2 linked regions of the Drosophila melanogaster genome follow. The protein of the gene in region 1 interacts with the protein of each later gene in a pairwise test. Each region holds a gene or a part of one and is shown in the gene's direction. Other genes may lie near its edges. The genes, in order: PGRP-SA and CG7556.

The links.
Region 2: the proteins of PGRP-SA (region 1) and CG7556 interact in a two-hybrid assay, tested with the Drosophila melanogaster proteins (one large-scale study listed by BioGRID).

The regions. Positions count from the first base shown.
Region 1 is NC_004354.4:11,559,438-11,563,295, forward strand, and holds PGRP-SA (peptidoglycan recognition protein SA), read left to right. Parts: upstream 1-2,205; 5' UTR 2,206-2,535; coding exon 2,536-2,843; intron 2,844-2,901; coding exon 2,902-3,020; intron 3,021-3,081; coding exon 3,082-3,266; 3' UTR 3,267-3,342; downstream 3,343-3,858. UniProt on the Drosophila melanogaster protein: Peptidoglycan-recognition protein that plays a key role in innate immunity by binding to peptidoglycans (PGN) of Gram-positive bacteria and activating the Toll pathway upstream of spz activating enzyme SPE.
Region 2 is NC_004354.4:19,178,094-19,182,017, reverse strand, and holds the start of CG7556 (uncharacterized protein), read left to right. Parts: upstream 1-2,187; 5' UTR 2,188-2,338; coding exon 2,339-3,018; intron 3,019-3,770; coding exon 3,771-3,924. Other genes in the region: CG7453 (uncharacterized protein), read right to left, coding at 825-1,739.

The DNA.
Region 1 (3,858 bases):
TAGTAGTGGTTTTTAGCTGCACAAAACAGTCATTCTTGTACTTATATGACCATTTTTAGATAAGTTATAAGAAAACACCCTTTGTACATATCGTATTTTTGGCCAAAAGACGTTTTCCAGATTTAAAGGAAGAAAATATTTAGTTTTTTGGCCACAACATTGGAAATAATGATCCAAATATGGATTGTCATACCTCGTTGAGTTCGTATTCAAAATTCTAATCAAACTGTGTTTAAAATTTGGATTTTTAATTTTTTGCCATTTTTCGCAAATTTTGATGAATACCGAATATGCAAAAATCGACCCAAAAATTAATTTTTCAAAATCCATCAAAAAGTGATAGGGATAGTTAGTAGGGGTTATTAGCTGCACAAAACAGTCATTCCTATGCGTTTATGACCATTTTTAGACAAGTTATGATAAAAACACCCTTTGCATAAATCGTATTTTTGGCCAAAAGACGGTTTTCAGATTTAAAGGAAGAAAATATTTAGTTTTTTGGCCACAACATTGGAAATAATGACTGGTCTATGCCACCCGGATGCGTTTTCATCCAGGGTATCAGCAAGGCAATTCAGCCAACAACGCCAACAAGTTGACTTGACTGCTGGCTAGCGCGGTATAAATGACGCCTGACGTCATGATGTCATCGAGTGAGCGGCAGAGCAGCCAAGCAGCGGAGCGGCCAACCTTAATATTTGTAATCTTCAAGTGCAACTAGGCCCCCGGCCACGCCCCCTTGACACTGTTCATTGGCCGCCCACGGATTGGCAATTAAAAAGAAAGGAATTAAACTTGCTAGTGGAAGCTCCTCGGACTTTTTCTCTGACTCAGCGCCACCTGAAAGTGGAGAGTGAGAAAAGTGGGTGAGGGCGATAGAGAGTGCACTGAAAAGAAATACTAGTGTGTGTTCATATTAGAATTAGAATTATTATATAAATATGTAAGATATGCATAATCTATCTAGTACCACAAAGTATATATGCACACTGAATTTATATGATTAATAATATCTGATTGATCTGCTCGTACATTATTTATGGATAACCCCATTTATAAACAACATATCTATTACCAATGATATCCAATACCATGTCTATAACCATTTGTTTATATCATCAATTACAAAGCCATAAAAACTTTGATAAACATAATATCACTTTCGGTGAAGTAACGCGAAATTAGATAGTCTTTCTTGCAGTGCAGCAGTAAAACACTGAGCGGTAAGTCTGATGAGTAACGCTAGTGCGGCGGAGATGACGCCGGATTGCCCCGCCCTGTAGTGGGTGGCAGTTATCGGGCAAACGGCTTTTATCAATAGCACCAATAATAACAGAAACCAAAATAGAATGAATGAATGAATAAAAAAATGCATCCAGTGGTTAGCGTAATGCATTTGCAATGCGGATCGCCTTCGGTGGAAAACCTTAAGGCAGAGACATGCAAATGCAAATGCCATGAGTAATTCACAATTTATAGACACCACACACATCGCAATCAAGTTCATAGCATGGGGGTCAATTATTATCTACTTTTTAAAAGAATCTTTAACTTTTCCCGCGAGTTATTCATCCTAATGAAACTGCCTTTTTTTAGCTGGCATTTAACACTTTTACCCTTGGAAATTGAAGTTAGTAAAGAAAAGCGGACGGTATTAAACATTTACACGCATTTCATTGACCTACAAAATGTATTGTTTGTTCATTTTTTGTTTTTTGGCAAAAACTATTGAAACTGCCTTTTTTTAGCTGGCATTTAACACTTTTACCCTTGGAAATTGAAGTTAGTAAAGAAAAGCGGACGGTATTAAACATTTACACGCATTTCATTGACCTACAAAATGTATTGTTTGTTCATTTTTTGTTTTTTGGCAAAAACTATTGCCATTACGTTCTATTTAAGGGAAGTATACGTTTTTCCTCGCCCTCTTTTTTAATTCATTAACCATAAATTGATTTAATGAACGACATGTCGGCATGCGAGCCTTCTATATCTTTTCATTTATAAGCTCGAACGATAATATACACAATATATTCGTGAGTAATATTGCTACACTTATACTTTTTTTTTACATATTTACTACTCAATTTGCAAACAAAAAAATAAAAATCTAACGCTCTCTGCGGCTGTTATCAGTGAACTTCTCGCGAGACTTTCAGCTAATCATTAATTTAGTTTAACTGTTAGTATTCGTGTGTACATATCACAAATCTTACTGCTTCTAGGGAAGCATTCGTCACTAGCTGAAAAGCGGAAATTCCATCACAGAGATCGGCTTTCAACCCGTTTTAAATTGTTGTTTGGGCTTTTTGCTTGTCGCTTCGCAAATGTGATGCAAAACAAAAAGAACCGAACAAAGAACGCGGAGATTTGCGACGGATCGGAAGATCTGGAGATGGCTAATGGACGGGAGTCCCCTGTGGCTCTGCGGGATCGTAAGCTCCAGAAAGCTCGGATCGTTGGCCCTGATAAATCCGGCAGATAGCCCATCGAGAGCAGTTCTCATCCAGCCTTAGATCTTAGCACATCAACATCATGCAGCCGGTTCGATTCGGATCTCCTTGGATTATGGCCATTGGGCTGGTGCTACTACTGCTGGCATTCGTCTCCGCCGGAAAGTCGCGTCAGCGTTCGCCAGCCAATTGCCCCACCATCAAGCTGAAGCGTCAGTGGGGCGGCAAGCCTTCGTTGGGACTCCACTACCAAGTGCGTCCCATCCGCTATGTGGTCATCCATCACACGGTCACCGGCGAGTGCAGCGGACTGCTCAAGTGCGCCGAGATTCTCCAGAACATGCAGGCGTATCATCAGAACGAGCTGGACTTCAACGATATTAGTTACAAGTACGGATGGCACCTTCGCAATTATCAAGATAACTATTATGATAATGATCTCTTTCAGCTTCCTGATCGGCAACGATGGTATCGTATACGAAGGCACTGGTTGGGGATTGCGCGGTGCCCACACCTATGGATACAATGCCATTGGCACGGGCATAGCCTTTATCGGCAACTTTGTGGGTAAGTTGCAAATCGATATTCTCCGCTATGTGGAGCACTACATGCCCAACATCTCCGATAGATAAACTTCCATCGGATGCGGCTCTCCAGGCGGCCAAAGATCTGCTGGCCTGCGGAGTGCAGCAGGGTGAGCTGAGCGAGGATTACGCCCTGATCGCCGGCTCCCAGGTGATCAGCACCCAGAGTCCCGGACTGACTCTATACAACGAGATCCAAGAGTGGCCGCACTGGCTCTCAAATCCCTAAATCAACTACAAGTAATTGCAGTAGTCTGCCAGAATGAGCATATCAGTTTAGTAAAGTAAATAAACCAATGTTGTTGAGTATTTTTTTGTGGTTTTTATTTTATAATTTTCTATTTTGTTTTCTGTCATAATTTACAAAAATGTGTCGGACGTAAAAATATATATGAATATATAGTGTAGTGTATGGGTGGGTGCCTGCATTCTTATGCTTTATAAGTAACATTTGTGTGCAGGCGAAAACAACTGATCGGGTTAATTAGGGATTTAAAGGGTATATGGAAAACGCTACAAATAGTGTCTGACGTTGGCTTGTTTTGTTGTTGTTTTTAATAACTAGGGTCTTTATACTAACATTAGGCAAAATAAGAATAGGGATATTCAAAAAAATGTGAAAGTACTTTGCAGAAGAGTGACAAGAGTCTTCCAGTTAGTAAACAATTTCATACAGTGGGTTGTGCAAAGAAATAGATTCGCATTATCGAATACAGTTCGAGAATTGCAACTTGAAACAATTTGTGCAAATATAAATGGCTTCGAATTCGCTTTTCTGGTTAACGCAAACAATTCAAAATGTTTACTTTACCACAAAACCA
Region 2 (3,924 bases), 7.6 Mb from region 1:
TATCTTTTTTTTTTTAGCCTTGTTGCTTTATTGTAGTTGTTAAATTAATAACAATAAGAAATATGTATATATATATATATATATATTCATATTTATGTATATACACATGGTATGCAATAAATTTGCTTGTTTCAGGCCGATTGCTTGTGTTTTTGGTTTCTGCTGGTTTTTTTTTTTGAGTGAGTGCTGCTGCTTGGTTGCGTAAAGTAAATGCGAAGAAATCACCTCGAAGACCCGGCGATGGAGAATATCATGTGTAAAGGTGTATATAGAGCTGGTTCGTAAGGCACATTACGGCTAGATTGTGGATGCATCAAGTGATTGCTAATTGCGCTGATGTTGATGTTGATGGTTGATGGTTGAGAGTCCGCAGCCTTCGATGTACAGCAGCAGCCTAAGTAGATATATGTATATATAGGGTACATATAAGTGCCGGTATCAATTTTTGATTGCTAACAAATGCTTGACAATAATCCAAATGCTTAAACTTAAGAGTCCACTCGAATTTAGTGTTGAAAATCAGTTGGCTTTAAATTCAATTTGGCCGCTCGGAAGGGTATCCTAGCCACGCTGCAAAGCGAATCCCTTTCTCCTCCTCCTCTAATTGACTGAGCAATATCATAGTTTCGTTTCGTTTTCCCACCGCCTCCTCTGCTCTCCGCTACTCTCACTCTGCTTTCGATCCGGCGATCTTGCATTGAATGCAAGCACGTCCAGTCGTGTATAACTTAAACAACTAATAATCATCCGAGTGCGCCGGAGGAGGCGTTGGAGCACCCGGTGAAGTGGCCGCCCTTGCCGCCAGCCTGTCGTCCGCGTCTTCGTCAGTCGTTGTACATGCCGTCCACCAGGAAGTCCATGCGACGGTAGTGCCTGGTGCTCCACATGTCGCGGAAGCGGCGGTACATGATGGTCACCACGCCGATGGCCAGCGGAACGGTCAGCAGCACGGTAACAATGGGTACCACATACCCGTTCTCTCCGTGATCGGCAAGATTACTTCCAGTAAGCCCCTGCACCAATGGCTCTGGTGGTGTGGCCAATGGCTGGGTGGGAGCGCCCTTTGTACCTGGCTTATCCTGACTCTTTTCCAGCTCCGCCATATCCTCCCCCTCCTGGTGTATATCAGTGCTCAATACCACTGGGGGCTTCTTCGGCTTTGGCGTGGTTGCGATGATGGTTGAATTGACAGTTTTGGTGGTGGCTGTGGCGGTGTGGGTGCTGTTGGTCGGGGATATTGCCGCGCCGTTGGTGGACGAGTTGCTCGGCTTGGTGACATCCTTCATGGACTGGCCCTCGGTGACTATGGCTGATCCTGCAGCTGGCTTTGCCGTGGTGGTGGTGGTCGTGGTGGAAGAAGTTGTAGTGGAGGTCGTATTGGTCGCCTCCTTGGCCGCCTTTTGCTCCACAGCCGGCTTGGAAGTGACCAAAGGAATGGTGGGCACTCCTGTATCGGTGTTTGTGAGATTTTTGGCTTTACCTGCATTTTCTGCTGTGGCCGTTTTGTTTAAGTTCTTGTCCTGTTGCAACACAGCTGCATCCTTACCCGGCACCAGCTGGCTGGCAGCTCCCGGAGATCCAGATTCCAATTTCGATCCTGGAATAACTTTGGCCTGCAGCACGTTCGTCGCATTGGCCACCACTGGGGCGTCCTTGGTGGCGGAGTTAGCTGTCTGCTTCTGCTGGCCTGAGACCAGGACCAAGATGCTCAGCAGCCACAGCATATAGAGCAGCTTCATTGTCGTCTGATTTCTTATTCTTATAAGAGTGAAACGTCGCGTCGCTTCTATTCATTTAGTTGCACAAGTGATGCACCATCGAGAGCTTATCGATAACAGTCGACAGTGTTGGGCGTTTTGGTTTGAAACAGGTGAAAAACGTGTATCAAGTTAAAACAAAATTCGGTATAGAAAGAGAATTTGTTTTATTGTTTTCAGGAAGAACTTGACAAATGTTATGAGCAAATTTTAATGAGCAAACAAACGAAATCTGTTTGACCTACTGTGTGTCGTTAGTTGGAAAAAAAAATTTGTAAAATTTGATTACATATATATGGTTACAGAATTAGTGCAGTAAATTATTTTTGAACAAAAAAACAGAAATTCGTAAAAATAAATAATAGAAACGTTGCAAATATCTTTTTGTCTACACAAACTTTACCGAGTGGTGGCAACGCTGTCGCACCAGCGACCAGTCTGCTGACGTTGCCACTTTCCAGCTGAGCCTATCCGTGTTTGCTTGCGTGTGTGTGTATTTGTGGTGCGTGCGTGGGTCTGGCGCATTAAATTTGGATTTTACTCCGATTTGGACCTGACCTGGATTCGGAACTCGGACCACGATGATGATGCGACCGGAGCTGACGCTGGCCGGCCTCCTGCTGCTCTGCGCCACTGGCGCCAGCGCCTGGCACTCGGAGGAACTGGAGATCTTTGACTTGGTCGAGGAGGTAAACCGCAACTTCTACGAGTTCATGGGCATCAACCAAACGGCAACGGGCGCCGAGGTGAAGCGCGCCTTCCGCACCCTGTCCATTGTCCTGCATCCGGACAAGAATCCGGCCGAGGATGCCAACATCCAGTTCCGCAACCTCGTTTCCATCTACGAGGTTCTCAAAGATCCGTCGCGCCGAGAGAAGTACGACCGGGTACTGAAGGAGGGCATGCCCAACTGGAAGTCTGCCCTCTACTATTACCGACGTATGCGCAAGATCGGGCTCTATGAGGGCGCCTTTATCCTCTTCCTGATAACCACCGTGGGCCAGTATCTATTCGCCTGGGCGGCCTACCTCGAGAAGAAGTACACCGCCGAACAGGTCTTTGGCACCAAGCTGAAGAAGCTGCAGAAGAAGAACAAGAACATCGACATGGACGTGATCCTTAGCGAGATACCGATGCCCTCGCTACTCAACACCCTGCCCATCCAGATCCCCTTGGCCCTGTGGAACCTGCCGCGCACCATCAAGAACGGATTCAGCAAGGCCAACGAGCTAAAGGAACTCGCCCTGGAGAAGCGCAGGCAGTAAGTGGCAGGGTTCTATTGCTTACCTTACGTTTTTACGTTATTATAGCGCCTTGTTCCATTGTAGTCATTTTGGAGTTGTAGGATTTTGCTATTTCATTAAGTTTCTATATCGAGAGGTCCTGGCAGCGGAAGGATTATTATTTTGCGACCTTGTGCTCGGAGTTTTGGCAGACCTCTCTTACTTTAGTCTTCAATATCTTAGTATATAGAGCAACAAAAGAATATAATTCTAGTTTTGTATTGCATCAGGTTTTGATAACTTACATTGCCACTCTTATCGTTAATTCGCTGTGGTTTCTGTATGTTCATTGCATGCAGAGTGATATCATTTAATATTAAAAGTTGGTTAGTTTCTCATTTCTCAGTTGAAATTTTGGTCATAGCCTTTAGTTAGCATTTTATATTCACAAGCTAGAACAATTCTTCTAAATATAGGCAATTCAATTAAGAAACAAAGAAAGAAAACGATATGTCACCATGCAAACACATTTTATGCTTTCCAAAAAAGGTGCTCATGAGTGCACCTTAAGATGACTTGCACCATTAGATAGGTTCCAAAGAAGGAATATTGTCAGTCTTTGTGTCGCACGATAATCAAATGAAACTGAGCATTCTTGATATGACCACAGATAAGGTACTAAAATTCGATTAGCGTAGAATAGCTAACAAGCTAACAAAAATCGTGTGGGAACGGTATCCAAAAGTAAGAAGTAAGAAACTAATTGATTCATCCCAATTTGCATCCACAGGGAACTGGAGGCCGTCCGTCGTCAGGAGGAACTGGAACGGGAGGCCGAGGAGCAGGCGCGCCTTCGCAAGGAGCACAAGGAGAATCTGCGGAAGCGCAAGCAGAACAGCAAGGCTCCAGAGAAGACCGAGGAAGAATTGCGCGGCTATTCGCAG